Linked DNA regions of Alligator mississippiensis. The protein of the gene in region 3 interacts with the protein of the main gene of each other region in a pairwise test. Links are inferred from orthologs where the notes say so. Each region holds a gene or a part of one and is shown on either strand. Other genes may lie near its edges.

Evidence for each region.
Region 1: the proteins of PDLIM7 (region 3) and GEM interact in binary tests that used the Homo sapiens proteins (3 or more experiments, as listed by UniProt). The two-hybrid records come from large-scale screens. The link is inferred for Alligator mississippiensis from reciprocal best matches to the Homo sapiens genes PDLIM7 and GEM.
Region 2: the proteins of PDLIM7 (region 3) and ZMYND11 interact in a two-hybrid assay, tested with the Homo sapiens proteins (2 studies listed by BioGRID). The link is inferred for Alligator mississippiensis from reciprocal best matches to the Homo sapiens genes PDLIM7 and ZMYND11.

The regions. Positions count from the first base shown.
Region 1 is NC_081826.1:43,630,141-43,640,627, reverse strand, and holds the start of GEM (GTP-binding protein GEM), read right to left. Parts: upstream 4,534-10,487; 5' UTR 4,485-4,533; coding exon 4,483-4,484; intron 338-4,482; coding exon 182-337; intron 1-181. UniProt on the Homo sapiens protein: Could be a regulatory protein, possibly participating in receptor-mediated signal transduction at the plasma membrane. Has guanine nucleotide-binding activity but undetectable intrinsic GTPase activity.
Region 2 is NC_081828.1:200,872,079-200,883,058, forward strand, and holds the start of ZMYND11 (zinc finger MYND domain-containing protein 11), read right to left. Parts: upstream 4,534-10,980; 5' UTR 4,285-4,533; intron 4,254-4,284; exon of another isoform or gene 4,158-4,253; intron 3,400-4,157; exon of another isoform or gene 3,009-3,399; intron 1-3,008. UniProt on the Homo sapiens protein: Chromatin reader that specifically recognizes and binds histone H3.3 trimethylated at 'Lys-36' (H3.3K36me3) and regulates RNA polymerase II elongation. Does not bind other histone H3 subtypes (H3.1 or H3.2).
Region 3 is NC_081832.1:79,406,619-79,416,625, reverse strand, and holds the start of PDLIM7 (PDZ and LIM domain protein 7), read right to left. Parts: upstream 4,642-10,007; 5' UTR 4,539-4,641; intron 4,287-4,538; 5' UTR 4,285-4,286; coding exon 4,180-4,284; intron 2,124-4,179; coding exon 1,972-2,123; intron 1,510-1,971; coding exon 1,479-1,509; intron 1,023-1,478; coding exon 868-1,022; intron 42-867; coding exon of another isoform or gene 25-41; intron 1-24. Other genes in the region: DOK3 (docking protein 3), read right to left, coding at 5,023-5,763, 5,882-6,054, 6,185-6,278, 6,505-7,029; probable ATP-dependent RNA helicase DDX41, read right to left, coding at 8,859-8,995, 9,240-9,350, 9,730-9,801, 9,983-10,007. UniProt on the Homo sapiens protein: May function as a scaffold on which the coordinated assembly of proteins can occur. May play a role as an adapter that, via its PDZ domain, localizes LIM-binding proteins to actin filaments of both skeletal muscle and nonmuscle tissues.

The DNA of each region.
Region 1 (10,487 bases), on a different chromosome or scaffold from region 3:
ATGCAAGCTGAGAGGGGAAGGTCTTCATAAGCTCTAGATGAAAGTCTGCCAGAAAAACTCCTAAGTGCTGCAAGCTTCAATGATGTTAATTCTCTCTGAAGTCAATTGTCAGCCAGTATTCCCCAGCAAGCACTAGAGGTGATGTACTGTAGGAGATGCTACCACATGGGTGAGTTCTTACCTGTTAACTGGTGTTCTGCAGTGTAATTTGTAACTGGTGAGCTGATCTGCCCATTCCTCAACTGGTACATAGCAGCCATAGCTGATCCCAAAGTGGGAAGATTTCTGCTCCTTCTGCTTTCTTGCTTTGGGTGTGACCTTTAGACCTTGAGTTCTCCTGAGAAGGAAAAGAAGATACTCACTTTCATGGAGTCCCCACCTGGTGGCCTGCTCCAGCACAGATACAGAACTGAACTAAATGTATTTGAGGGAAAGTCCAATGTGAGCCATGTAAGCTACAAAGGTGACTGCTGATGTGGGGTCTGTCACAGTTTGTCCCTGGTCCTCCTCGGCACACAGGTTTACATTGCAACAAAGAAGTGTAAAGAACAGATGTTTTTGTAAGATTGTTGGGCTGAGGCCATTGTCTACAGTATCCCTGGGGACCATATTTCCCTTTAACAAGATGAAAGGTCTGTTGGACCCAGGGATCTTCTGAGCTGTTAGGGAATGAAAGGCCTAGCAAAATTAGTTGTTTGTGAAGGTTGTACAGGTTTCCCTCGATTTATGCTATATATGTGTTCCCAGAGAACAGCACATAAATCGAATTTGCATAAAGCAAACCCACTTTACAAAGTAACAAATGAGGATAGGTTCCCATAGTGGTGAGGGTGTTGCCCTGTGGGGTCAGGACAACTCTCAAGATCTCAATATTGCACTGTTAGACAGAAAGGTGTGTCACAGTTGCACATATACAAACACACAAATCAATTAGGTGCATACACACACACACACATACACTCAGGCACATACACATCCAAACCAGTCTAGGCACATGCATACCTATCACCAATTCAAGCACATACACTATACACCCCAAAAGTTGGACAAAAATCAATTGTCCATACCCGCACACTCAGTACACATACACAGATCACTAATTTGTATATTATGCACACAATGACATATATATACACATTCACCAGTTCACACATACAACCCACATACACACAGGTAAGTTCCTAACTTGGATGAGACAGTGTGTATGTGTGTGCTTGGGGTACCTGGGATACTTGGGGGAAGGTTAAGGTGAGAAAGAGGGTTAAAGTATGGGGAGTGAAAGTTGCCAGAACTGGGATTAGAACCGGTGGACTAGAAAGAAGCTGGCTGAGGAACTGAGGCTTGGGGTTACTTAAGATCAAGTAGCCCCAGGGTTACTTGAGGTCACTGGTGCATAGGGAAAAAAGCCTGATGGCAAGGAGGAGACAGCCAGGAAAGAAACTGAGGCAGAAACCTGGGAGCTCAGGGGAAAAGGCAGTGGGGATAAGACAGTGGCAAAGAAACAGGGGGTTTGGAGGCAGAGAGGAGCTCAGGACAGGTGCTGGAGGTGGCAGTGAGCCAGAAGCAGAAGAGGGAGAAATGAGACAGAAGTTAGAGGGGCGAGGAACAGCGATTGGAGCAGGACTGGACTGCAGTAAAGCAAACCCAACTCAGGGGTCCGAATAAAAGTTTTATTAAACAGACAACACACAACACAGCCCCATGAAGTTATTGGTGCACACACACACATGAGCACTCACAATGGCAGCAGGAGAAAGAGACTCAGTGGAAGGGTTGGAGTCCAGGTAGGGAAGAGAAACAGAGTCCAAGTCCTTGGTTGAAGAGGGGGTGGAAGGTGATAGCTACCTATCCAGGCTGGAAAGGGGTCCTTGATCAGTAGGTATTGTCCAGACAGGGGTCGCCGGCAGGGCCTCTGGGTGGATAGATGGTGTGGCATGGTGCTGGTCCAGATGGAGAGGGCATCCCAAGGAGTCAGTCTTCACTACCCCTTTTATGGGGCAGACTACCCCTGATCTTCTATGGGGAGGGCCTGTCCAGGCAAGGTCAGTCTTGTTCCAGTGAGTTCCAGGTGTTCTTACTGAGCATGTGCAGCCTGGCACAATGGTGGGTTGCCTCATCTTTTGTTTCTTGAATGCTGAGGGTGTTTCCAAGGGCTGGGTCCTTGGTCCAGGTATTGGTGTTGATGATTTGGTCATTCAGAGGGAGCTATTTTTAGACCTACTGCCATTGTCTCTCAAACACCCTCATTCATCCCCCATTCATTCAGAAACCAAGTTACATAGGAGGAGTAGGTATGAGTCATAGGTCAGGGGACACCAGATGGAAACTTGACATGGCTTATGCTAACTTACGTATGTAGGCCTAAAACAGTAATTACACAATATAAAAGCAGTAAAGAAAAAAATCAATACGGACATAATAATTATCACTTATAAAACAGTGGATACCTATATCAAAATAGCAGGGCACTTATTTGCGAAGAGGGGAGAGAAAAATAAAACTTAATACCTAAAATAAAATGTTAAAGTGTATCCTACACCTTAGCTTACTTATACTTATCTATAGGGAATAGAGAGGGAGAAAAAAAGTCAGAAATGGTTGGGGAAGGGGAGGGAATGCATTTTAAAATAAATTTAAAAAAAGAAAAACTGGGGGTTTTGCTACAAGGGAGGGAAGGAGGACTAGGGAAGGGACGGAGGGAGGGGTGCTGCTCCCGGGGCTGCACAAGGCAGCAAAGCAGAAGGAACAGAGCGGCACTCACCCCAGCCCCACATGCAGTGGCCCCAGGAGCAGCCGGCACCGGCTGCTGCAGCTGCTAGGCTGCACCATGCTCTGCCTGTCCCCACTCACCTCTGCTCCTGGCCTGTGCTGTGCCCTGGTACAGGCAGTTGGTCAGGGCCACTGCAGCCAAGGCTGGGGTGAGTGCTGCGCCCCGCACCACCCGGGGCTCTGCTTGTCCACACTCACACCGGCCCGTGCTGGAGTAGCCCCAGGAGTGGTCGACACCAGCTGCCTGCACCAGGACACGGCACAGCCCAGGAGCTGGGGTGAGCCCAGGTGCAGGGGGACAGGCAGAGCATGGTGCAGCCCAGTGGGTACAGGCCACTGGCACCGGCTGCTCCCGGGGCCGCTGCAGGTGGGGCTGGGATGAGTGGGGCCACGACCCTTTCCCCTCCCCCCACAGACTTACCTGCTTGGGCGGGAGGGCATCTATGCTGATTGCATAAGAACCTTGCATATAATGAATTATGGGTCTAAATATGCTCATCGCATAACAGCAAATTCGCATCTAAAGAATCTGCATAAATTCAGGGAAACCTGTATAGCTTTTCAGGGGCACCCAGGGAACGAGGAAAAAGTTTGGATCCTCGCCTAGAAAGGGATTTAATTGCTGGCTAAACAGGGAGAATGTTGTGGATTCTGTGATCTGCCCAGAAGCTATAGGCAATTCTTTGTTGGGGGGGGAGAGTGTGCATAATTTCCTAGGGTTTAAAAAAGCATGCTGAAAAGAAAGAAATTCCATTACGTAGTATCATATTGATGGTCACACAACCTATCCTCAGCGCTGTAAGTGCCAACTCTACCACACAGACCTTTGTCACTCGAGTAAGCAGAGTATTGAAATGGAGAATTGAAAGCAGTATTATATTAGGCTGACATCCTATGCTTATCAGCCTGGGGGAGAGGGGGGAGACAATTTGTCTGTGTTTTTCAGAGATGTTACAGACAGCAAAGAACTGATGAGAGTCCATGATGAGCTCTTAGGCTCAATTCCAGGATGTGGTGGGTATGACCATAACCATCTCTTCATGCTTGAACTATTTTTGCCTCTTCCCCTAGAACTTGTCCCTGTCCTCTCTTACGCACTCCTTGCTTATCCAGTTCTGGTGTCCTGTCCTTTCTTCATGCCTCTCATCCCAGTCATTTCTCTTTGTCCAGACAATCTCAGTTTCCATAACTAACCTGCAGGGTAGCCTGTCCTATCCTAAGGAACCTGCGGTCGCAGGGGGCCCCGCATCCAAGGGACCATGCCCCACTTGCCCTCCACAGCCTCTACCATGTTTAAAGGGCTGAGCAGGGGAGGCGTTCCTGGCTCTGCTCCCGCCCCAACCCCAGGGAGGGAACCCAGGCGTCCCCAGCACATGCTGCCCGCACATCGCCCCCCACCCTGCAGCACAGCCCACACACACGCAGCCCATCCCCGACTGGATCAGGGGATCACGGGACCCCAAAACTATATCTTGTACAGGGCCCAAAAATTGTGGGCTGTCCCTGCTTCCTGTCCCAGACTCTTCTCCGCTCCCAGCCAGCCTCTTTGCCCAGACATATCCCAGCTTACCCTCCCTCTCATCTTTCAGTTTCCTTGCCAGACCAGTTCCAGTCTCTTCACTTCTGCTCCATCAAACTTTCTTGCCCCACCAGCTTCCTTATCCTATATACTCCTTTTTTTTCCTCGTCTCCTCTCATACCTTTCTCTCTTACATTTGAATCAGACAGGTTCCATCTCCATGCTGCACTGATGATAGCTGGGGGTGTCTGAGAGTGCAGGGATGGCAGGCTCCTGTGGACCCCCCTCCCTGTCTCAGCTCAGAGCACCTAGGAACAGGAATTACAGGAAGAGTCCTTCCAAGCCTAGCACAGCCCTGAGCTACAGCATGATCTATGGGCTGGCGGTTTCACAATCCTGCTTTATGCAGAAGTTGGGAGGGGATGGAATATGCTCAGTTTGGCAAATGCAAGCAGTTATTTCATAGATTTCATAGACATTAGGGCTGGAAGGGACCTCAGAAGATCATCGAGTCCAGCCCCCTGCCCAAAGGGCAGGAAGTCAGCTGGGGTCATAGGATCCCAGCAAGATGAGCATCCAGTTTGCTCTTGAAGGTGTTCAACATAAGTGCTTGAACCACCTCCGATGGCAGGCTGTTCCAGACCTTGGGGGCTCAGACAGTAAAGAAATTCTTCCTTATGTCCAGCCTGAAACGGTCTTGTAGTAGTTTATGACCATTCGACCTACTCATCATCCCTTGGGGCGCTCTGGTGAACAAATGTTCCCCCAGATACTGGTGGTCACCCCTGATAAACTTATAGGTGGCCATCAGATCACCCCTGAGCCTGCACTTTTCCAGGCTAAAGAGCCCCAGGGCTCTCAGCCTGTCATCGTAGGGTCTGCTTCCCTGACCTCTGATCATGTGTGTGGCTCTTCTCTGGACTCTCTCAAGCTTCTCCACATCCTTTTTGAATTGTGGAGCCCAAAACTGGTTGCAGTACTCCAGCTGCAGCCTCACCAAGGCCGAGTACAAGGGAAGAATGACGTCCCGGGATTTGCTTGAGAATCATGTATGGATGCAAGCCAACGTTTTGGTCGCTTTACTAGCCGCAGCATCGCACTGCAGGCTCATGTTCATCTTGTGGTCAATGATGACCCCCAAGTCTCTTTCTTGCATAGTGCTAGCCAACATAGCACTGCGAGCCTATAAGGATGCTGTGGGTTTTTCTTCCCAAGGTGGAGAACCTTGCATTTATTGGCGTTGAACACCATCAGATTCTCGTCTGCCCACTTGCTGAGCCTGTCCAGGTCAGCCTGGATCACCCGCCTGTCTTCTGGTGTGGATGCTTTTCCCCAAAGTTTGGTGTCATCGGTGAACTTGGCCAGTCCGCTTCTGACTCCAGTGTCCACATCATTAATGAAGATGTTGAACAATATGGGTCCAAGGACAGAGCCTTGGGGGACCCCACTGGTCACAGGACACCATGATGAGTGACTTCCATCAATTACTACCCTCTGAGTCCGACCACGGAGCCAATTTTCCAGCCAGTGGATCATGGAGGACCCAAGGCGACAATTGGCCAGTTTCTCTAAGAGGTGATTATGGGAAACCAGGTCAAAGGCTTTTTTGAAGTCAAGATATATGACATCAATCTCTTCTCCCTTGTCCAGGTGATAGGTCACCTGGTCGTAGAAGGAAATGAGATTGGTCAAGCAAGACCTACCCGCAACAAACCCGTGCTGGCTATCCCTTAAGATGTTGGCGTCGGCCAGTCCATTAAGGATGGCCTCTTTAATAAACTTTTCTAAGATCTTCCCCGGGATAGAAGTCAGGCTAATGGGCCTATAGTTAGCCGGATCCACTTTCCTCCCTTTCTTGAAGATAGGCACCACATTGGCCTTCTTTCAGTCTTCGGGCACTACACCAGAGCGCCAAGAGTTTTCAAAGATCCGTGCTAGAGGCTGGGCTATGATGCTCGCCAGCTCCTTGAGTACCCTGGGGTGAAGATTGTCAGGGCCGGCTGACTTGAAGGTATCCAGCTTCTCAAGATGTTCCTTCACGAAGTCAGCATCAGTGGAGGGCAGGGGATCACCCTCACCCAGACTTCCCTGTCCCGTAGCGGGCATGGGCGTCCCATGGGACTGATGAAAGACTGACGCAAAGTACCTATTTAATAGGTTGGCTTTTTCCTGGGCGTCAGTTGTCAGTTGCCCCATCTGGTTCAGCAGGAGTCCGACGTTGCCCCTGCTTTTCCTCCAGCTCCCCACATATCTGAAAAAGGACTTTTTATTGTCCTTGATGCTCAAAGCCAGCTGGAGTTCAGTTGCAGCCTTGGCTTTCCTGGTCTGCTCCCTATAGGACCGGACCAGTGCAGAATAATCCTCCTTGGAGGTGACTCCCATCCTCCATCCTTTGTAGGCCTTTCTTTTTAGCCTCAGGAGGTCTGCTAGGTCCCTGGAGAGCCAGGGGAGCTGCTGTGCCCTCTTGCTGCCTTTCCTCTGAGATGGAAGCCAAATCCATTTCATCTTATGAGAGCCAAATATGCTTAAGGAGAACAAAATAAAGAATTTCTCCTAACCATGCATGAATAGTGATTTTTCACAGGTTTATAAACTTGACCAAATCTGGGGAGATTATCTTGGGGATGACTAAGGGCACATTCCTGGTACAAAGAGCAGCTGCTGTCAAATGTAAAGTTTCTAATCCAAAAACATGAGGGCAGTAAAGCATTACAAAGAAAAAATTTAAATATTTTAACAAAAAACAGCAGAATATTGTTCCCTAGCCTCAGTCTTGAAAATGCCTCAACTGTTTTGGCTGAAATTTTCCGAAAGAAAAGAAATATCAGCCTGAGGCAAACAATTAGCATGAAAAAGTTTAGTTCAAGTGGTTAAAAGTTTCACAAAGTTACAAGCAACAGGGTTACAGAGAACAAGGTACCAACAAAACACTGGGCCACTTTAAAAATAAAGTAGTGCCACTAGTCCTGATTATACTACGTATTCAGTATCCCAAATTTATCCTTGGAATAACTAAGCCAATGGGGTTGCACCTGCTTAAACCATCAGTGCCCAGGGCTCATCATTCTAGGTCTGAATCTTACTCAACCTTTTGGTGTGGCAGGCAGGTTAAGCAGTAGGTACGGGGCCCATCCCCAGGCCAGATTGGAACCCACATGGCAGGATTGGGCCCCATACCACCTCCCTCTGCTCCTGAAACAGGATCGGGCCCCTTACAATTTCCCTAAGGGTCTGCACCATTTCCCTTGGTTCCATGCCACCCACACTACCTCCCTGGGGGGTCTATGCTGCCTGCACTGCTTCATTAAGCCTCCCTGGGGTCCCATGCCATCAGATCTGGACCCCACACTGCAGAATTAGGCTCTACACCACCTCCAGTCAATGCACATGTACCCAGATCTGGCCCTGGGCCATATCTGCCCACTGATCCAGCATGCTATCCAGCTCATGAGGCTCCCCATGGCTTTGGAAATTTGGCAGCAGGGGAGCATCAATTGCTGTCACTGCTCGCCCACTGTCAAATTTTTGCACCCATAAGGAGCTCTATGGGCCAGATAGCATGGCTCCTTGAGCCGGATTTGGCCAATGAGCCAGGGTAGAGCACCCCCACTATAGGCTGATCCACATGGGTCACTTGTATGGAGCCCTGTCATTTTTAACAGAGCTCTGGGAAGACTTAAATATACACAAACCAGCTTGAAGTTTGGGGACAATGAAGCCCATATGGTGCAACCTCTCCCTCAGCAAATCTCCAACCCCCAGAGAGAAATTTCTGGTTACAATCTTTATTGATCAGGAAGCCACATCCCTAAAAGTGTTGAAAGCACCTGGGAGGAGCACAGGGAGATGGCTTGTTACTATACAAGTAGACTTGGCATACTTCGAGATTATATATATATCCATATCTATATCTAGATATATAAAATCATTTTGATGGTTAACATCTATGTTTATTTTTAAATGTTCATTTTGATTTTTATTGATTGAAATTATCAGGATTGCACAAAATTACGGGTGTGGGGGCAGACAATTTATTAATGACAGTATACTATTATTATAGTGCAGTTTAATCACCCATCATGACAAATATAACTACTGTAGGACTGCTGCCAGCTAAGCAGCAGAGCTGCCATCAATCCCAGCTCCACTTGCCCAGTAGCTCCTTTGTCCACTTTGTCACTTCCTCTTCCTTTGTTCCCAGTGCCCTGGGGTTTCTGAGAGTTGCAGTCCAAACTAATAGCACAGTTCTGCAGGGCTGTTCCTCCTGTTCTCACACAGTCCATCAGCCATCATTTTTCTTACATCCCCTTTCTATAAATGTTGATTATTAATGATGGCACTATTTTCCCGCAGTCTGTGAGTGTGAAGTGAAATAATTTATCAACATTTACCAACAAAAGTCAAATCCTGCCAAGCCTATGTATAAAGCAACTCCTAGTCTCTCTCAAACTAAAACTTTGACCTCAATTTGCTATAACAAGAAGGAAAAAAGACCTTGCATAATTGAAAAAAAAGAGCAAACAAATGAATTTTTCTCCCAATGACTAACATCTAGGACTCATTCCAAAGGAATGTAAATGGAAGAGTGCACATTGGCAAATGAATATGAAAAACTAAACAAATATAAAGGTGTATAGGGAAGATTTAATTTGATGCAACATACATGGAGAGAGCTGTAAGAAAGTGAAACTATTATGTCGGGAAACGCTTCCTACAAATTAATTAATATCTAAACAAATGGACTGAATTCTGACAGGAAGACTATAACCAAAGTTTAAACAATGACCAACCTATCAACTGATATCTAACTGAAGTATCACTAGAATTGACTTGGTATTTCTAAGTTCTGGCACACTCCTAAGTATGTCCAAGTTCTAATACTTAGTATTATTTATTTAGGACCTGATTCTGCAATTCTCACTCAAGTACTTATTGCCACATGTAGTCCCTTTAAATTGGAGAATTGCATCCTTCACCACATATCCCATAAATAGGGACCTACCTAAATAGCAGTTTTGTGGATTCTGTGGAAACTACGAAATCCAGGGTAGACCATGAAATCTGGGGGCAGGGGGGTGGGGGGGGCAACGACTTAATAACAATGTTTTTATTAAGTCTTTCCCTCCTGGGCATGTCTCACAGCCTACTTAGGAGGAACAGTGCTGGCTGGTAGGGCAGCATGATGGGGGCAGCAGATAAGACAGTGGCTGCCCCAGGGTCTCTCCGCCAATCAGAGCCAAGAGGCGGGGCTGCCACGGAATGCTCGCAAAATGGGCTCTTGATGCCAGGTCAAAGTCACAAAGATGTCTTTGTCTCGCAGAAAATTAAGTGGGTCCCTACCCATAAGTGTCAGCATCTACCCATTGCCTGGAAAGTTATGCACCTCACTTTTGGTGGTGCATAATTAATAGCCTACAGGCTCTTTTTATTTAAATTATCGTGACGCTGGAGTCTTTTTAGTTAGAAAAGCCTTTCCCCACTATTCTGTGCAGCCTTCCTAGATTTTCTAGCCACAAACACATCATTTATTAAAAATACACATCAACAGAAAGAAACACAGTTTACATCACATTCATTCTGTGGAAAGCACATTGCTCCAAGCCTGGCATTTTAGAAACTCCTCTGAGTTTTATTTTACTACAGAATGATTCAATCGCCATTTGGCACCTATTTTGCAATAGATGACAGATGTCAAAGCACTACAAAGACCTCTGAAAAAGTCAGACCCTCAGCTGGTTTCGATGTCAAACTCTTGCCAGAATGAAGGATACATCTATTGCAATTGTCATATCACTCAGATTTTTCCTCCCAAAGCTGCTTTTGTTGAGACATTTTCTAAGCATTAGCTGAAATGAAGGAAAGCAAGGTTTTATTTGGATTTTTACCTTATGAATGAATAATGATGTACATGTGTGAGAGAAAGAAACAGATAAATTACAAAAGATGAAAGCCAGGATACGTAGAACTGGAATCAAGGGAACCAGTGCTGTAGTTAATGGAGACTGAAGCAATTTGTTTAATCAAGCAATCCAAACCTGTTACAGCTTGCCAATTTCAAGGACTGCTTGGTGCAACTCGGTGCCCTGGAGCAACTTAAGAGCAGCACAGTGGCTGCTATAGCTTATGTTAGAGTAATACAGTCCACAAAGGAGTGTAGGCCAAGTGAGAATTAGTATAGTGGAACAATGCTCCCCGACAT
Region 2 (10,980 bases), on a different chromosome or scaffold from region 3:
ATTGCATTGATTCCACCTCTGACTTGTTTAATGTTTGTACCTAGCAATATAGTCCAGAGGCTATAACGCTCAGTCTGGTTGACAGACTATCCCCAGTTATACATGCTTTGTCAAGCAGGAAGTGTTTTCTGGGATGGGATCTTTATTTTACACCATTTAAAATCAACATAAAATTGGATTTAAAATAAGTATATGGTTTATGCTCTTGCTCTATAATTGATCTGTATTGCAAACCACACTTGCATCAGTTTTAAAAATAGGAAAACAAGATTATTGTCAATGGACTGCAGAAAACTTACCCCTACAGAGCAAGTTTACTAAAAAATTCCCTCTAAACGCAAATTACTCAAAGTCATTATTTTGTCTTGCAAGCTGCGTCTGCTTTGTATGCCACATTTCCCAAACTGACAACAAACTTTCAGAGTGGCAAGTAACCTAATCAGGATCCAAATTTATATCCAAATTAGCAAAAACCATTCAGACCCGATAAAAACAACCTTTGTTCACAACAGCTCAAGAAACCTTGACAAAGTGAAATATATGAGCTCCATAAAAGATGATATATGTTATGCTGCCCAAGTGCCAAGGGCTCCACGCTTCAAATAGCAAGGGAGTGTTTGATTCTGACTATATTTTGGGACTCTTGAAAAAAATTACTCTTAGAAATGCTTGTAAAAGAAATAGCTTCAGCTTGCAGTCTTGTCTGCAAGAGATGACCCAAGCCACAAACCGTACTTCTGATAATGTAAACCTGTAGCATAAAGAAGGTTACCCTGAATCTCCACTGGAAAATGAAAAAGCTAAAAGAAACTTCATATTACATACTGAATTTTTAAAAAAAGTACAACCAATAGAAATCAACTGCTGCACAACCATATGCTGAATACATAGACAAACAGAAATTAGCTGCAGTACACTTGACTATAGGCACAGCCTCTGCAAAACAATCATTTATATAGACCGGTTCAGGAAATTTAAACTAAAACAAACAAACAAATAAAAAACTACACACGTATCTGTGCAGTAATTAATTTTTGACAAAATTCAGCATTCCATGGGCCAAACTCACAGCTGGTACATGAATCTGGCGCTATAACTTGATTTGTTTTACAGCAGAATTTTGTCAACAGAGTACTAATATTTGTGGGAATGTATCTGTCCAGCAGCAAAATGAAACCATGCTAACTTTATTTTACTTTCAGCTAAATAGTCCTCTACGTGTGGTTAAAAAAATACGAGCAGCCTAAACTGCTTATTGGGTATTTTGTTTCTAGGGGCCTGAACTGTCTCTATTGAAATCCTATCTTCTGGATAGATTAGCTAGCTGTGACCTTAGGATCTACAGCCTTCTGGGCCTACTTGGGTTGGAAGATCAAGTATTACATGCAAGCGAGTAACCACGAATGAGAACAAAATGCTGATTGTAGATATTAAGGCAAAAAATGTCAAATTAAGTTGATTAAAAATAGACATCTAATTCAAAATTTAGGCCTGGCTTTCAAGGTGGCAACTTTGAGAAGTTTTTGGAAAAATAAGACCAAGTTTATTTAGGTTTGTTACAGACAGATTTAGGTGCCTTGTCTGTATAGACTTGCACCTTTTCTTTCTAACAATCTCCCCCCACTAAACAGTGATAGATGACACTCTAAGATCATAAAACGCGTGAATTAAGTCAAAATACTCAAAATACTAGTTCACTGTGTCCAGAACGCTTTCTTCACATTTGCAGGATATTTTTTTAAAGATATCTAGTGTAACTTAGGACTTTTATACATACACAGTTTTATCAGAAGAACTGATACAGACAAACTAAACCAGTATAAACCAGAACAGAACCAAGAGTGTACACATACAAAATTGAACTGTTTTAACATCGCACCAGTTTAACTATCAGAACTGTTTTAACTATCACACCAGATAACTATCTATCAGTTTAACTAGTGGTTAAACTGATAGAACTTTGTATGCTGCGTAGGTCTCATCCTTTTTATTTTTTCCCTACAGAAGAAACTAATATTATACAGTTCCACACTGTAGAAAAAGGGTAACCAGTAGGATAATACTACAGTATTTCTTTCCCATTTCAATTTAAACAAAAAAGCTTTATATATGTGCACATGCATGCACACACCCCCACTTGGAAGCTGACTCTACATAGTAGAGAAGCAGGATGCGTTTACCACTGTCTTTTATTGAAAAATCATGTTGTTGAGAGAGATACTCGACAAGCTTTTGGGCACAAAATAGGCTTCCTCGGGTCTGAAAGCTTGTCTAACCTCACTCCCAACTATGTAGTTGGTCCAATTACTGAACAAATGCAGTTCAAACTCAATTCAAAAATTCAAACTCGCTCACTCCCTGGATCACCACAGCTAGAACATTATTCCATATAGCAGCATGTTTGCATCCTGCTATCCAACTAATAATAGTGAGCTGGAGGCGCATTCTCTAGGTGTAGGCCATTCTCTAAACTCATTCAGTCCTTCAGCTGTCTAAAACTGCCTCAGTGGTGCCAACTGTAGTGGTGCTTATAATGTATTATCTGCTCAAGATGACAGAGGTGCTAATAAACCTCACAACAGACAAAACAGTCAAACGAGAGTAATTTCTTTCAGTCACCATTAGCTTAGTTTGGAACACACGAGGAAAAAAAAAGAAATGCTCCTCCTTGCTAGGGCTCCGCAAGTCCTTTGCTTCTCCCATCAAAACAGCCAGTCAAAAGAGCACGAGTCTGTTGAACTGTAGCTTGGCACTAAATGTAAACCTACGCAGGGAATTATTCTGAGTATACTTTCACTTTTTTATATAAAACAGCAGTTAGCAAATGCTTTCCTTCCCTCAAGACTTTCTGTAACATGCTCCGAACGGTTGAGAACAAAATTATTAACAAAATGTGTGGAGAGGTGCCAGGTCCTTCATGGTGAGTGATAAGGGACTAGGAAAACTCAAGGGATTGCAACCCAAAACCAGAAACTGCATTTTCCCAACCCCCCCCCACCAAACCTCACCTGTCTCCAAGCTTTCCCTGAAGGAATTCAAGGCTGTTTACGAAACAGCACCTGAGCAAAGCCAACAAAAGGGAGGGAGAAAGGTTTCTACCCTTTCCATGGCACCAGGGGTTCCCTTCGTAAAAAGCTGTTCTAGTTTAGCTCTTGACCAGAGCGGCGCGCAAAGTCTTATCGCGAAACACCCCAAGGCCAAACTAGCCAGGAGCGATACGCCCGGCCAACGTTATACTCCACGTTTCCTTTCTTCCAGTCCGTAGCTCCCCAAAATCCTGGTTCTCGAGCAGGAAGGAAACGTCTTTTGAAACTGGCACCAGGGCAAGATCGGCGACAACAGGTTTCACGCTCAGGGAGGGATCCGGGAACAAAAGAGGCCAGGACCAAATGCCAAAGTTTCCCCAAGTCCCTCAGGCTGCCCTGCCTCCCACAGCCCTAGTTATCACCCCTGTTCCCGAGGCCCAGGCAGCTGCTGGCTGCCAGCAGGACTGGGGAGGAGGGACGAGCTGCCCCGGGGGAGGAGGCGGCGGTGCCCCCAGGGCAGGAGTGTCCCGCGGGCACGGGGCGGACACGCAAGGCCGGGCCCCGCGGCCTGGGAGCCCCGCGGCCTCGCTCCCTTGTCTGCCTCAGGCGGGCGGCTCTCCCCGAGCGGGGGGGCGGGCCCTTCCCTTCCCCTCCCCTCCCCTAACACGGGGGGGAGCGAAGCAGGCACTGGGCCCGCGGGGGGGGGGGGAGCGGGGCTGTGGCCGGGCTGCGCCACACCCCGCGCGGCCTCAGCGCTCACTCGAGCCCCCGGCTCCCCCGCTCGCAGCAGGCCCGCGCGGAGGCCCCCGCCGCTGCAACAACCCGGACCAGCGGCCGGGGGGGGGGCAGATCGTGAATAACCCGAGTTAATAATGCCCCCCCCCCGCATTATTATTAAACCGAGTTAACACCCCCCCTCAAGAATAGCCCCCTCCCCACGCGCGCACACACGCGCGGCCGCATTTAATCCGGGTCCCCGCGTGCCCCCTCCCCAGGCGGCCGCAGCCTCGGGCAGGCCCCCGCCGCCGCCGGGGCACAGCGTGTGTGTGCAGGATTGGGTAGGTTTTTTTTTTTTAAGGCGCCATGTTTATAATCCTCCATCATATTTAAAAAAAAAAAAAAAAAACGCACCCGGCAGGAGACGCGGCGTCTGCCTGGGCCCCGGGCCGGGCCGGGCCGGGCGCGGGCTGCACCCCGGCCCCGCCGCCTGCCCGCCCGCCCGCGCCGCCGCCGCCGCCGCCGCCAAAGTCTCGCTCACCTTGTGCGGTGCCGCTCCTGCTGCTGCGGGAGGAGACGGGGAGGGGAGGGGAGGGGAAGGGAAGGGAAAGGGGGGGGAGAAGTTCAGCCAGGGGAAACTTTTCAATCCTTTCCCCAGGCCGCTGCCTCCGCCGCCGCCTCCGTCCACATATTTTCTCCCCCCCCTCAGAGTTTTATTGTGTCTGAATTTTCTCTCTCGCGCTCGCTCCCTCTCTCTCCTCCTCTGCTGTCTGTCCACAGTTCAGGCTTCTGGGGTAAACAGGGTTTAGGATGGTGCTGGGGATATTTGGGAGAAGGAGAACTCTAGTGGCGTCTGCTGGAGTTGCTGTTTGCTGCTTTTATTTCGTTTATTTCATGGGTTGTTGTTTTTTTAATAGGATACATTTTAAACAGATCTGAAACTCCTGCCTTCTTCCAATCAGTCTTTTCTGTGGGTGTGCGGGGAGGGCCCCACCATGGCAGGATGAGGGCGGTGAGCGTGGCACAGAGCAGGCCCTGCTGACACCAGTCCTTCCCTCCTCAAATGCAATTTAGAGACTTTCTGGATTTGTTTCCACCCCACAAAAGTGCCCACTGACTTTGGGCAGGCAAACAGCCCTAGTCTGCAACAGCAGATGCTACTTTCCAGTTCAGCTTCAGGCACCCATGTTCTAGATGTATATGTGGGATCAGGCCTACTAAAACAATACATATTAAAAACAAACAAGTAGCAAATAGTGTCTGTAATTTTTCATATTTAGCCCGTTGGGTGGTTTTATGTAAAATGTGTGTGTACTTATTTTGAGAGGGAGAAAGAGTATGTATTTTATGGGGTGCCTACAGATGTACTAAATGCATATTGGATTAATATTAATGCCAGGCTAGTTACATCCATTCTAATTATTGTGATGCACCTTATAAACTAAAAGAAAGAAGCAAGTTGCATCATAATTACAGGCTTAACCAGATCTTTTTCTTGCAGTTGATACAGACTCTCATTCTAAACATTTATGCATGTGAATAATAGTTATTTTGAAATAAATGAGGAATACTCTCATAAGAGACTCACAATCTTAACACCTGATCTAAAAAAAAGACTTACATACATGCCTAGTTTTAAGTGCTGTGAATAGTCTAAACTGTTTAACCATGTTGAAGTGACTAGGACTAATAATACAATAATGCATAGGTCTGCTGAATCAGGGCCTAGTATCTCCCAAATAAAATAAAAATAATGTAATCTGTTGTGTAGCAGTAATATAAATTCAGTTTTGTTGTTCATTGCAATATGAGAGACCAATTTAGAATATCTAAGATAACTACAACAGATAGATCAGCAAACACCCTTTGTGTTTTCATCTTTTAATATTACTTGAGGAATTTGGCTGATACCAAATTACTATTAGTTGTTATTATTAAGAATATAGGTTTCATTTTAAAGTCAATGTTTTTATAATAAGTATACATTATGAGGCATTTGCTTTTGGTATGGTTACAAGAAGCCTGCAATTTCATCTTGAGCATTTGGGTGTAATTTATGTTTAGTGGTTAGGATTTTTAATGGTGTAGGTACCTGATTACAAAAGAAGTACAAAGAAATTAGACACTCGGGTTCAATAGGATTCATCTGCCTGCTTACCCCACTGCATATACTTTTCTCTGAGCCATAAATATTAAAAAAGAGAAAAGGATTTAGGGTCTGAGCCTATAAACCCTTACTACCATGAGTAGTTTGTTCATAGGCCATACCCATGTTCATAGCAGTAATATTGTCAGAGGGCAAAACTGCAATCATCTCCAGCTTGAGCAGGATCAAACCTTTCATCCCTCGGAAACTATTGGGACAATTGTCATACAAGTACTCAACCTACAATATGTCCGACTCGAACATTCATCTGTACATGTGTGATCCGGCCCTCAAGGTTGTTGTACCCTTGAGGTTTTAACCTGGAGTTAAATGATTGCCAAATAACTTGTGGTAGTTAACGCACTTGTAAAGGTTAGCCTGGACACTCTCCAAATGTTTGTTCCAGGATACAAATGTTTATTTTTGGCAAAGCACAAATATTTGTGTCATGAAACAAACTTTCAGGAAGTGTCTTCAATAAATGTTACTGTGATTGACAGTCGATAACCTGGGAGGAAAAAAACTCTAGCATAAAAGTTGTCATATAAATAGGACATAAGCATTAGGTGTTCAAGGGATTGATCTTCCCTCTGCCTGCATGAGGATCAGGATCAGCGCCTTGTATGATCCAGCTTCAAGTGACTGAGCATTTGCAAGACTTGGCTTTTAGGCCTTGTCTTGATTGACAAAGAAATATATATGACTTTCAGTCATTCTGGCTCACTCAAGTTAGCTTTAGCATGATTGAAAAGACTTTTTATGTGCTCATTAAGATGCAAGTTTGAAGCCACATTAGCTGGCCCTGTTTAGCCTCTGCTCCTGTACATGCATTTATCTGCATTTATTTCAGTATTTGATATAGAGGCTCCCCTTTGATAGCTAAGTTCTCAATTAGGGAGCAGCACCAAGAGATTTAAAATCATATGAAGCAGTCAGGACTGAGGCAGGCAGACAATAGGAAGGAAATCCCACCCTCCATGTGCATTGGGCAGCAGCTTGTTCCCTCATAGGCAGTGCCAACTGTTTGTTAAGGCTACTGTCAGATAAGGAAGTGTCCTAATCCATCCTCCAAAGTGATATGATTGGCTGTTGGGAGTGACAGACAGTTACACTTAGATTAGAGTGTCAGTGTAAAATTCAGGGCATTTCCTTTCTCCTCCCCTTGGCTGGAAAGGTCTCTGAAAAGGAAAAGAGTGTTACTTGGTTTCTGAGCTAGAATGGAAAGTACTGATAGTAAAAGAACTCAATGTGGGGCAGAACAACTTATCCAAGAGAAGTATTTGTATAACTATAATCAGGAGCTTGCATTTGAATGTCAATATTTCCAGAGAGCCAGCTTATCACTTGGTTGAAGGGAAAGAAAATACAGGAAAAGTTAAAATGGGAAGAAGAAAATAAGCAGAGCTTAATTTCCTTCAGAAAATATACCTCACTCAAAATAAAAATGTTGAAAGCTAGGTTAACATAACAAACTTTGGCTCGCATAGCTCTGTTGCTCAGGGTTTAATATATTGGTATACTAGCCCAGCAAACCAAGCCAAACGTACACCTAATTTAAATGACGGTGGTAATTTTTCAAGCTAAATTTTACTTTTAGATATGCATGCATGATTATTGAATTATAGAGTGCATATGCATGCATGTACAGCTATATGATGAGTTTATACTATGGAAACTTATTGAGTCTAGGAACCTGGGAGGCAGATAATAATATATATTTATAAAGCTATACATTTATATAATGCAAACAAACAAGAACAGAGCTTGCTAAATAAGGCAAACCAGTAATTCTCCACCAGAGTGCTTCAGCAACCTGGAGTGCCACCAGATCCTTTTTAGGGTGGTGTGAGGAAGGAGGAAAAGCACAGGCTCATCCTGGACGATCCCTTACCCCGTTGCCCAGCTCCTCTACAAGTAGGTAAGCCCTGGAATATACCAATTAGTTTTTTAAACGGGGTGCCACTCATTTCACAAATTTCTGGGCAGGTGCCTGGAGTCCAGAAAAGTTGAGTCACTTGGCTAAACAGTTATACAACAGGGTTTGTTAATAACCTACATGGGGCCAGTATCTGGACATACATAATTTGCCAAGAGCCAGCTACCGCTCTCAGGTTGTGGCACCTTCTGTAACTAACAAAAATAGCTACAAAATAAGCTTATAATATAATAACCCCAAATCACAAGTCAAGATACAAAAACCATGTGATTGGTTTTAAAATCATGCAGTTAAAAAAATTGTAAATCTGAAGTTATTTTATTTGCCCCCCTATTTTCTAAGCTTTTAGGGTACTTTCAGGTCACATTAGGAAGATTTTCTTCATAACCCTCAGATCTACACTCTTGAATTGTAGAATGTAGAGAGGTGAGGCTGGAAGGGACCTCCAGAAGTCATTTAATCCAATCCCCTGCCTGAGGCAAAATCATCCTTATCCAAACCATTTTATACAAATCCATAATCTGAACTCTTTGTAAAACTACTATCAACCCTAACACAACACAATGCATAACACCCTACCCTGCCACAGGTAAAGCAGGGAACAGCAGCAGCCAACATCCTGCTTCTATAAAAGTTTGTTAATATACTCTCAAGAGGTCCCAGAAAAAGGACTATGCCTCCTACTACAGAGGAAGGCAAAACCCCTCGTAGCCTAAAGCAATCTGACCATGGGGTAAAATTCTTTCCTGACCCCAGATATGGTGATCAGTCTGACCCTGAGCTGAGGGGCAAGACTTTTAAACCAGGAACCTCTGGGTTTAAGTCCCAGCAGGAGCACTGGCACACCCCAGTCAAAATCCACAGCTTTGGCTGTAACCAACACTTAATGCCTTTGAGAAAGACTTAAAAACTCCCTGACAGACAGCAGAAAGGTGGGGAGGAGGCAACCAGCAAAGCCAGAAGCATAGGAAATAGCCATAGTAGAACATAGGCATAGCTATGCCAACCAGTGGGTGTCCAACACCCTCTTAAACAACTGCAGCAATGGAGAGTCCACAACTTCCCTAGACAGTCTCTTCCATTGCCTCACTGTTCTAACAATGAAGAAGATTTCGTGATATCCCATCTACTTTGTTTTAATGAAAGCTGAGGTTCTTATATAATCACTTGAATCCAGAAACATGGTCTTTAAGGGAAATAATAAAATCAAGAGATTTTGGAATAAATTTGCAAGAACTAGCAATATTGAGCTTTTTATATAACAACATAGCAACGACAAAACAATTTCTCCCCTTAGTGATGATGCTGATATACCACTTCCATGTAGGTCTAAGATGTGTACATTACCTATTGGTCTCAGTCAACATTACATTTTGGTCATAGAATCATAGAAAAATAGGGCTAGAAGGGTCCTTAGGAGGTCATCCAGTGCAACCCCCCTGCAGAAGGCAGGATCATCCCAAGGCATAGTTTGTGGTCAAGGGTCAGACTTACAAGAGATATAGGATTTTCTGGATGGGAGGAGAGAAGGTATCTTGTGTAAGGCAACTTTCTATGAGCACAAGAGGTTGTACTAGGATAATTATTTTGTAAAAATTCATCTCTCTGAACTAAAATAGTTATACCAATAGAAAAGCCATGTGTGGACTTGACTGAAATCATCAGAGTCATAACATGACTCCTGAGCACTCTGGGTGGCAGTGACACACAGAGCAGTGTCACTGGCTGTACTGCTGGTGACATGGCACTGGCCAGCTCAGCAGTGCAGACAGTTCTAATTGTTCATTGTTCACCTCCCATCCCAGTGACTCAGTCTTCTCCTCTTTATTATGCAACTGCAAGTAATTGCTACAGGGAATCATTGAGCACAAGCAAGATATAATATGAAAATATACATTTTTAATGAGTAACAAGAAAGCCCAGAGTTATTATAATTAATAACGTTGTTTTGAAGATAATTGTAAGCTTTGTGTCTATTTCCAACTGTGAGAGATCAGGATGAGACCCAATGTGAGGGGCAAATTAACTCATAACTGCCACCTTCCTTTAAAGCATCTGGTATAGGCCAGATGCAGACTGAATGAGGTGGACTTTGGATCTAATCCATTATGGTAGTTACTATGTTCATGGATGCTCTGCAAGATTTACAGGACCTGTACAAAGCTAAGCATTAAAATGGAACTGTCCTGTTTATGACCATCTCTAGCACTGACAGTGGATACAAAAGCATGACAGCCAAATGGGAACTTTTTCTCTTCATAGAGTGTTTGAAGTGTTGGAGGACAGCCAGAAATGTATAAGGTTCGATCTTCCACCTTATGTGCGGTTTGTGCGTGTACAGCATATAGAAAATGTATAGATGCTATGTATTTTATGTATTAGTTCTCTTTAATAGATTGCATTGCATTCACAGATGGCACTTTAATCTTTTCAAAGGTTCCTCATTAAAGTGAAGTTTTGTTAATAAACTATGAAGCCAAACTGCAATAACGTGTGTGAGAGTATGTTCATGCCTTTTTATATTTTACGACAAAGTTCTAAATTAACCAAGCACACTATTAAAAAGAGATGGTACAGTATTTTCAGGGTAACTAAAATCCAATTATGTTGGGAAATCATAACTTTGAATATCCTGATTTTTGTGTTTAAAATTTTTGACATTGTGTTGAATTTACTTGAATTGACTTAAAAATACAAAAGTGGAAAAGACTTAAAATGTAGCACATATTTGCATGATTAAAATCCATGTTACATCTGTATTTACTCACCTAGGGAAATATGACCTTTCCCTATAGGCCTCAACATAATCTTACTGATTTATGTTCAAATGCTGGGTGTGCTTTGCTTATACCAACTGGAAACTTTGGAAAACTAAAAATAAAGACACTGAAAGAGCAAATATACCCACAAGTCCCTTATGCCCTAATTTTTAGAGGGACAGAAGAGGTAAAGCAGCAAGTGAAATAGGGTCTCTATTTTCTAAATCACAATAATTGACGATTCACTTTTTTCCTTTAAAAACAGATATATAAAATCTTGTCAAACTTTTCTTTAAAATTACTTTGGGCTGGGAATAAGTAGGTGAAATAACAACAAATTTCATCAAGAAGTTATGTATGTCTGAAAATTGGGGCTAATAATGAAAGTGCTCCTCA
Region 3 (10,007 bases):
GAGAGCAGGCAGAGGCTTACTGACTTGTCAGGGCTGTGCACCTGCAGCAGACGGGAGGAGAGAGGAGAGAAGACAGAGGAGAGGTTAGCCCGGACCGCAGGGAGTATCGCAGCAAAGCCCGGAAACACGCCGCCCCACAGAGCCCGCCTGGCGCCAGCACCATCCAGGAGGGGCACAACCCCTTACTGCTCCATGCACCCCAGCAGGCCAGGGTCAGGCGTTGCCAGAGCCAAGCACCACATGGAGCCTGGCTCAGCCGTCCCCATGCTCCTCACTGCATGGACACTGGCTGGGGACGGCTGCAGAGCTGAACCCCCTCGCTGCACATGGTCGTACAACCCTGTCCCTGCCCCGGGGCCGCAGGAGCCTCCCGGCGCGAGCGGACAACGGCGCAAGCCACGTGACCAGAGACCCAGTCCCAGCCGCCCTCCTCCAGGCACAAGGTCTACACCTGGCTCGGATGCAGCAAAGCCCCACTGCAGGCCCAGCGAGGACGGCGGGAGTCCTGGGCAGGCCCCAAGCCGTGGCCCCAGACGCACTCCCCAGGCACAGATGCACGGCGCCCCCCACTGGACGGTACTGTGCAGGGCCGGCAGCAGGCCGTGCACACGCTGACAGGACCCTCGGGCACCCTGGCCCCGGCAGGCGGGGGGAGCTCAGACCCTGGGCGCAGAAGTTGGCGGGCAGCAGCATCTCTTGCAGTGCAACACCAGCACCAGCCACCAGGGGGCACTGGACACCGCAGGCATGGTGGGGTGGGGTGGGGGGCACACACGGGCACGGGTCCAGCATGCAAGGCCGTGGTGCGAGGGCAAGCCCAGGCCGGGCCAGGGCGCCTGGGGGGCAGCGTGATGGACAGCAACGTACCCATTGTGCTGCGGGGCGCTGGCAGGCGCCAGGGGCGTGTACGTCACGGGTTTCGTCACTGGGGCGGTGCCGGCCCCGAAGGGCCGCGCAGTTTTGTTGAGGGCGGAGCTGGGCGCAAAGCTGTATTTCAGGGGCTCAGAGTGGGGGGGGGCATCCTGAGCAGGAGACAAAACATGACAGCGGCTGGCGACGCGGGCAGCAAGCGTGGGCGCAGGTGTGGGGCACCGGCTCGGGCACAAGGCCACATAGGATGTGCCCAGCCCCAAGTGGCTCTGCAAGGCAATGCCCCCACCTCAGGGTCAGACCCTGCATGGGCAGTTGGGGGGGCCTGGGAGCTGCACAAGTGCGACACGGCAGCACTAGGAAGCCAGGAGCAGCCATGCAGGGCAGCGCAGCCCCTGTCCCTGTCCTTGCCCGCAGGACGAAGCCAAGCTCACCCGGTGCTCGCAGGCAGCAAGCAGCTGTGGCAGCCGGCAGGTGCCCAGGCCTTGCACCACCAGCCCCACGAGTGGAGCCATGGGAAGCTGCCTGCCACGCCTGGTCCTGCCAGTCAGGTCTCCCGGTGCCCCCCAGCCCGCCCAACAGCCCCCCGCAGCCCCAGCGCCACGTACCTTCTGTGGCTTCCCCACGAGGTTCTGGGCTCTGCAAGAGAAGAGACGGAGCCCAGGTGAGCAACAGCCGCAGGTGCGGGCTCCTGCAGCCTCAGCACCACGGTGCCCAGCGTGCAACGCTCTACCCTGTGCCCTGGACACAGGCAGCTTTGCGCTGCGAAGCCACCAGCTGGACCCAGCGAGGGCCAGACACAGGCTCCTGCTTGAGCCACATCTGGGTGGGATGCCCCAGGCCTGGGCAGTGCCCTGGGCATACAGCCGCGCTGGGTGGTGGGGGCCCAGCTGATGGGGCTGTGGCAAAGGGACCTCCGCAGCCTCCCATTGACCAGCCGGCTACTACCAGCAGCAGATGCACACACGCCTGCAACTTCCCATAGGCATGCTCCTGCCACCCCTGCACCAGGCCACAGCACCCTGGTCCCTACCGTACCCTGCTCATGCCCAGCCCAGCACCCCCCACCCGTGCCCTGCAGGGGAATGCCCGGGCTGGCACCTGCTGAGGCTGAGGCTGAGGCGGTCGCCACAGGCGCGGATCCTGTTCTGCGCCTCGATGTGGGTCAGAGCGCTAGCGTTCTCGCCATCGATGCTCAGCACCCAGTCGCCCACGCCCACGCCGGCCTGCGCCGCCTTCCCACTGGGTGTCAGCTGCCGTGGGCACAGAGGGAGAGAGTCAGGCGGGCAGTGAGCAATGCTGCCCCGTGCCCCGGGGAAGCCAAGTGCCCACACTGCTGCCCTGGCTGATGCTGGGGACACTGGGCTGGGCCCGTTGGGGCAGGTACCTACTCCCAGTCCTCCCCTCCCCCCCAACACATCCTGGGGGCTTTTTCCTGGCCTGTGGCCCGGGCCAGGCCCCACCTTGGCACAGAGACCAGGCGCCCCCCGCGGCTCTGCCGGCCGAGACAGGAGCAGCTCCGTCCCCGGGAGCCGGGCGTGAGTCAGAACTTCGCCGTCCCGGCGCAGCCCATGCATCAGGCCCGGGCCTGTTGGAGCCTGAACCACAGGCATTTCCGAGGCTTTTGTGTCTGGGCTGGGGGGAGACAGGCGCTCCCACCCTGGCCAGCCCTGGTCGCTCCCCCATCTCCTGTCCGCGGACAGACGTTACCTCATCCCAGCCGTGAGCAGCGATACCCGCTGGGGCTGCCCCCCCGCCCCCCCGCGGGAAAGTCCAGCCCAGCCGGCACCACCACAGCAGCCTCGGCCCCGGGGCGGAGGGGCAGGGGCCAAGGCCAGGATGGGGCAGCTTCGAGGCAGACGTGTGGTGCTGCCACCCCGGCCCCGGGGACCTGAGAGAAGCATCTTCTGCGGGGGCCGCAGGCTGGGGTGGGAGCCCAGCAGGGCTCAGCCGGGTGCACGGTGGGGGGGAAGGGTGTGTGGGTCCAGGCCACCCCCTACCCCCTGCATTGCCTGCAGTGCGGCCGGGCCTGCTCTCACTCCAGCTGCCTGGGCCGGGCTGGGGGAGCTCCAGGCTCCTGGACTGGAGCCAAATGCTTCTCTGGCTCAACATGGACATAAAAGGAGCGAGCCAGATCCCGGCGGCGGCCCCCAGGCCCCTCCCCCCGGGCCAAGGCCCCCGCGATGCCGGCACCGCCCCCTGCGCGCCCCAGCCCCGGAGCCTGCGGGGATGCTGGTGCTCACAGACCCTCGCTCCCAGCCGGGCTGGGCCCGGGGGCCATGGCAGAGCCCAGCCCGGGAAAGCTCTCGGCTCCAAGCGCCGGAGAAGCCTGCGCCGGGCCTCCGGGTGGCCAGGACCCCCCGACCAGGCAGAGGAGCTGCCCCTCGCGCACTCAGCCCAGCCCTGCAGCCGCATCCTGCTCCCGGCCAGGCCCCTGCCCAGCTCTTCCTGGCTGGCTGGAGACAGGCCTAGGCAGCGCCCAGGGGGAAGCAGGGCCGTGTCCCCGCAGGACCCCAGCCCTGCTGACGACTAGGGCGTATTTTTATCCTCTCCTGCCTGAGCTCAGCACTTCTCCCTGGCCCCCAGCGCCACCTCTGACAGCTGGGATGGGGCTGCAGGCCTGCCCCACCTGCCCCCGTCGCTCACACCGCGGCCAGCCCTGCACGCACCAGAGCACCTGCCCTGCCCCTGCCCCATGGCAAGGAGCACGAGTGCCTGGAGCACACGTCCCCGCTGGCTGTCGGGGGGTCCTGGGGCACTGCCTGGGCCCCGCTGGCTGGGAGGCGCTGTACTAACGAGCTGAGGAAGGAAGCCTCGGCTACGCCTGTGACCGTGCCCACCCGGCACAGCCGCCTTCCTGGGCAGGGCCAGCTCCGGGCAGGGCAGCGCTGTGGCTGCTGGAGGGAGCTTGGAGCCAGGGGCCTGGCTGGGAGCGACGCGCCCCAGAGGAAGCTCAGACCGGCACAGGGCGCGGTGCTGCGGAGGGGACCCGGGGGCTGTGTCTCTGTGGGCACGAGACGTGCCAGCCCACCCCACCTCCTGGGCAGCCTCTTGCCCCCCCACGCCTGCGCCCCGACCCCAGCACGCAGCCAACAGCCTCCCCCCGTGGGCAGCTGGGAGCCAGGCTGCGCGAGGCCCGGGGAAGGGCCGGGGCCCTCGGCTAGCTGCCTCCCGCAACGAGCCCCAGCCTGCGCGGGGCCGGGGCCGGGGCCGGGGCCGGGGCCGCCCTCCTGCCAGCTGGCCGCGGCGGCCGGCGCATTCCGAGGCTTATAAGGCAATGGCTCGGCGGGCCCGGCCGGCCGCGCTTACCCGCGAGATGGAGAGCGGCATGTTGAAGTCCTTGCCCCCCTGCAGGCGGAAGCCCCAGGGCGCCGGCCCCTCCAGCACCACCTTGTAGGCGTCCATGTCGCTCATGCCTGGGGAGGGAGACGGTGAGCGGCGGGGCGCGGCGAGCCGAGGCGGGGCCGGGAGGCGCGGGCGGGCGATGAGAGGCGTGTAAGACGACACCGCGCCCGGCACTGCCGGCACTGGGCGACCGCGGCGTGCCCCGGCCCCGCTCCTCCGAGCGGGGCGCGGCGGGACCGGGGGCTCCGGCCGGGCAGGCTCCCGCCCCGCCCCGCCCCGGAGCCGCAGCCCCCGCGCACCCCCGCCCGCCCGCGGACGCTGACCTGCGGGGCCCGGCCGGGCGGAGCCGGCACTGCGCGACGAGCCGAGCCCGACACCGCTGCGCTCTGCGGGCCGCGCTCCCTGCGCCGGGCCCTATGTACCCTCGGGGGCGGGGCCGGCCCTAGGCCCCGCCCCGCCCCTACTGCGCTTGCGCGGCTGCGGGCCCCGGGCCCCCGCGTGCGCCCCCGGACCCTCCTTCCCCGCCGGGCCGCCGCCCGGCTCCAGCGTTACCGGCCCGCCCCGCCCCGCCGCGCTCAAGGAGACGCTGCCCGTCGCTCCGGCGCCGCCTTTATTTCCTGGTCGCGGCGCCCGAAGCCGGAACCGGCGCCGCACGGAGCCGCCCCGAGCCCGCGGGGTGTCGCTGTCCGGGAGAGGCGCGCCCGGCCCGGCCCGTCCTGCCGGGAAGCGCCGCCGCCCCCCGCTCGGTCCCCGCCGCCGGAGCCCTCGGGACGGCCGCTGCCCCCGCCCTTCTCCCCGCCGGGCGGCTCAGGCGCGGTCCGCGGGGCTGGGGGTCCGGCCGGGCACCGGCGGCGCCGCCTCCCTGCTCAGCAGCGTGACCAGCCTCCGGCGGAGGCCGTTGCTGGCCGTGGCCTCGCCGTGGGCCGCGCTGTCGGGCCCCTCCGGGTCCTGCAGCCGCTGGTAGCGGGGCTGGAGCACGGGGCTGGGGGCGCCGCTCCGGGCCGCGGCCACCATGCAGCTGTTGTCGTAGATGGGCGCCTCGGGGCCGCTGCTGCCCTCGGGTGGCTCCCGGCAGCTCCGGTGCCAGCTCGCGGCCGCCTGGTCCAGGCCCCGCCCCGGGCAGTCTGTCTCCGGGCCGCACAGGTTCTCGTACAGGTGCTCGGAGGGCTGCTGGCCCCAGGCCTCCGGCTCCGGCTCCCGCCGGACGGCAGCAGGCAGGGGCTGCGGGCCCCGGGCAATGGAGGCGTAGATGACGGGGAAGGTGTGGTCCACCCTGTCTGGAGCCCCTGGCTCCCGTGAGCAGGGCTGGGGCGGAGGGTGCTCGGGCCGGAGCCAGGCGGGTGGCGCGGCCCCTCCGTCCTCGAGGGCCCAGGACGCTGATGGTGCCCCCTCGGGGCTGCTGGCGGGGTGCTGCCAGGGCTCCTGGTTCCTCTGGCGGGCGATGGCAGCGGATATGAGACCACAGATCTCGGCAGCGCGGCCCGTGCTGAAGGTGAAGACGCCCTCACCAGAGTCGCAGCGGCGGCCGGCCTCGAAGGACAGCATGGCCTGTGGGCGGATGGGGGTAAGGGGCAGGGAAGGCCAGGGCCCCAGGACCTCCCCCCCCCCGACACTGCAGGGAAGAAGTGGGGCACGGGGTGCCAGGCTTGTGGGGCCACACAGGTACCTGGTCCTGGCCGAACTTGCGCAGGAAGGGATAGGGCCAGGCAAGCAGCGGCTGCCGCGTCTGCAGCTCCTTCAACACCAGGCGCTCGGGCAGCACGGCCAGCAGGTAGCGCCCGCTCAGGCCGCAGCGGGTGGAGGCCTCGGTCCGGAGCAGCAGTACTGGGAACTCGTTCGCTGGCGGAGGAACGGAGCCCACGTTGACGCTGCAGCCCTGGCTCCTGTGAGGGCATGACAGCCCACCCCCCACCGGCTGTAAGGCGTGTCCACCCATGCGCCAGGGCAGGCACCAGCCCCCCGCACCTACGTGCGTGCCAGGACGAGTAGATCGTGTTCTCCTCCATGTGGAGGCCAGAGCTGGGCGAGGCCCTGTTGCTGCCTGGAGCCATCTCCTTTGTGCCCTGAAAAGCAGAGAGGTGAGCCGCGTCCACCGCCTGGGGAGCAGAGCTGCAGGGAGCTGGAGGGGGGAACACATGGAGCTTGGGCAAGTCCACAGACTTGACCACGGGACCTCCAGGGGCTGGGGAGGGGGCAGATTGGCTGTAGCACCACCTGAGCCTCCCACGACTCCGTGGTGCTGGATGCAGCCGCCCGCCTGTGCCACCCCCTGGCCAGGGTCCACCATACCTGGAAGGCCAGTTGGCAGAGCTGCGCCACCCACTCGTCAGGCTGCTCGGCCGCCAGCACGTGGCTCTTGTCCAGGGTGCGGAGGCAGAAGGCGGCCGTGCCACGGGGGCAGCCCTCACTGCCGGCAGGCCCCACGGACACACAGTCGGCCAGCCGGAGCACCCGGCGTTCGCCCCGGCGTAGCGATGTCTTCTCGGGCCCCGAACCGTCCCGCACCGCAAACTGCTCCATGCGGGCCACGCCTGACGGGCCAGCCGCGAACAGCTGTGCCCGCACCTTCTTCCAGGACCTCTGGGGGTGGGTAGATGAGCAGGGCTCAGCACCCTTGGGCCAGGGATGGAGCTGGTAGGATGCTGCTTGGAGCCACCGGCAGGCAGGGAAAGGAGACCCTCGTGCAGGCACCCTGCCTCTGCAGCACCTGCTCAAGCTGGAGCCTGCGCCTGCCCTGCGGGCTGCGGGCTCAGCCCGCCGGCATCTCACGCCCTTCCTCTGGGCCCAGCAGCTCCGAGAACACAGCCCAGGCATCCGGGCTGGGAGGCTGCGGCCAGCCTCGTGCTGCCCCTGGGGGCCCGGCAGGTGGGGTGGACCAGCTGTTCCAGCCTAGGCCCTATGCAAATCAGGCCATTTAGGGCTGTTTGCGCCCACGACCAACAGCAGCCCTGCACCTGACACATGGGCCAGGTCCTGCCAGCACCACCCACCCCTTCCTCCCGGGGGAAGCTCTGCAGCAGCCAGCGGGTCACGAGGTGAGGGCACGGGGCAGCTGCAGCCTCCTCTTGCAATCCCCACGTGCTGGCTGAGGAGAAGGGGCAGACAGGCCCAGAAGCACCGCCAGCCATGGCTGCACTGCCCACCCCATGTGGGGGCTGCACCTGCCTGCTCCGCTCCACCTGTGCTGGGATATGGGGGCTGCCCCAATGGGCACCGTGCTCCCAGCCTGGCACTGGTCCAGCTGGGCTGCGACCCAGCCTAGGCCGGACCCGTTTCCAACCTGAGGCACAGGGTTGCAGCTTGCAGGAAGCATCTCCCGTGCCCTGCAAGGGCACCCGGGCTGGGCAGGTTGCTGGGGGACCTGGCACCTCCAGGACAGGAGGCAATTGAGGCTCTGCCTTGAAAGCCCGCCTGCAGTTGCTGCCTATGGTCAGACCCTGACCACGGCTGTAGGGACCGTGGTGCTTGTGGGGTAGTTGGCTGCAAACCCAAGCCACATGAGGGCACTGGGCCCCAGTCACCATCCCCATTCCACTTGGGCTGCTGGCAAGCACTGGTCCCTACCCACCCTGGGACAACGGCAGAGCAGCAGGGCTCAGCCCCAGGGAAGACGAGGGGCTTCCACACCTGCCCCCCTCACTCACATGCACCACGTTGTACTCTGTAACAGCTTTTATTGCCCTTTGCGCCTGCCGCAGGCAGCACCCACAGCAGAGTCAGGAGCACCAGGACTGCTGGTTGTGGCTGCCTCCCCGGCACCCAGGCGTGGGGCCGAGACCACACGCCCCTCCCCCTGGCCAGCAAGGCCTGGAGCCCAGCCCTGCCCGTTACCTTTCCAAATTTGAAGTGCTGGACATAAAGGATCCCATCCTTCACGGGCCCCTCCATGGCTTGAGCTGCCTGGGTTGTGGAGCCGTTGGCCACGGGAGCTGGGGCTGCTGCCGCAGGAGTGCAGGGGTAGACTTCCCCTCTGCATCCACTTCCCCTTTCTGGCGTGTGAGCCGTGGAGCTGGCCCTGCCTCCGCCAGAGCAGAGCAGTGGGGCAGAACGGGCAGGCGGGGCTGCGAGTCTGCCCTAGGCAGGCTCTCACAGCCCCTGCTTGAGGCAAGGGGGGTGGTGCTGAGGACTAGGACTGCCCCTTCCTGCCCAGCCCAGCAGCCCCAGGAAGATGCTGAGCATCCCCTAGACTGGGGAACAGTCCTGGCAGGGCCAAGGGCATCCTGGCAGAATCTCTGTGCCAGGCCGAGCCGAGGCGGCCTGGGCTAGCAGACTGTCCCTACTGCCCTCCAGCTCCCCCCACCCAAATCCCCCTGGGCCGGTGCTGTGCATCTGGCCCAGAGGCTCCCACTTGCTCAATCCCAGCATGTCAACAGTAGGGCTGATGTAAGAGGCTGTTGCTGCATGGCACAGCACTTCCTCCCAGCACCAGAACTGCAGCCCGGCTCTGGAGCAGCAGGGAATGGGCAGCATGCCCCAGGGGCCTGGAGCAGGCCGTGGCGTGGCTGCCCGAGACACAGGGACCAGCCGCCTGGCGCTAACATGGCCTTCCTGGTGCGACTGGCACTTGCCCAGGGAGCAGCCACCTTCCCCTTCCCCCACCCCTTCACAGCATCTGGGCAGGGGCTGGTGCCCGGCGGGCAGCCCTAGAAGTCCATGGAGCTGTGGGCCAGGTAGTCTTTGCGGCCGATGTTGCTGACTTGCTTGGTCTGCATGGCTTCCAGCTTGGGGCAGTCTGTGATGCGATGGCCCAGCCCCCCGCAGAAGGCACAGCCCCTCTCCCCTATGACAGGAAGAAGGATGAGTGAGCTCGGGCAGGGGCAGGGCACTGCCTGGGATGGGGGAGCTCCCGCAGCTCTTGGGAGAGTAACAGCCCCAGAAGTGCAGCCACTGCCAGAGTGCACGGCTCAAGCAACCTGCAGCTGCTCTCGCCCTCCCCTGCCTCAGTGCCCCCTTCCCTGGACAGGACGCAGCCCTTCCTAGGGCCAGAACGGCAGCAGAAGTGCCACCTTCCCGCAGCCTCTCACCTCCGATGTCCAGCATGGTCTCATCCCCGCAGTGCAGCACCTGGAGCACAGGTGGTACCTTCTGCTTGGCCTCCAGCAGCAGCGCCTTCAGGTCCATGAGCACCGACTCGTCTGGGGGCAGAAGGGCAGCTCAGCACAGGCTCCAGGCACAGATGCCAGAAGGAGCCTGCAGTGCAGGGCACACTGAACGCAAGGCTGTGGGGCAGAGCAGGGCCCCAGGTGGGAAGGATAGCAGAGTGCCCCCCCATAGTGTAGCACCTCATGGTGTGGGGCACAGGGCAGCTTGACCACAGAAGAGGAGCACCCTCGATACCCTCCCCATCCAGACCCCGGGCCAACACTGCCTGAGCCACTGGGCTCCTCATGGCTCCACCAGTACCCACCTGGCACTACCCCATCACTGGCTTGGCAATGCACACGGGGTCAGTGGAGGACGCCCTGCCCAGCTCAGTGTGCCCCAGCCCAGCAGACCACCCCTCATGCTCCTCACCGCAGGCTTTGTTGATGAAGGTGGTGGCGATGCCCGTGTTCCCCGAGCGGCCCGTACGCCCAATGCGGTGCACTGTGGGAAGACAGGTGTGGTCAGGGCCAGGGGACCAAAGCAGGAGCCTGAACACGGACCCCCATCTCCCACCACCTGGGAGCCAAGCCCGAGTGTCCCTCCTCCACCCCATCACAGTGCCGGCACAGCAAGCTGCCCACACCCGGTGGGGCCCACAGGAAGGCCCAGAATGCCTACTCACCATAGTTCTCGATCTCCTCCGGCAT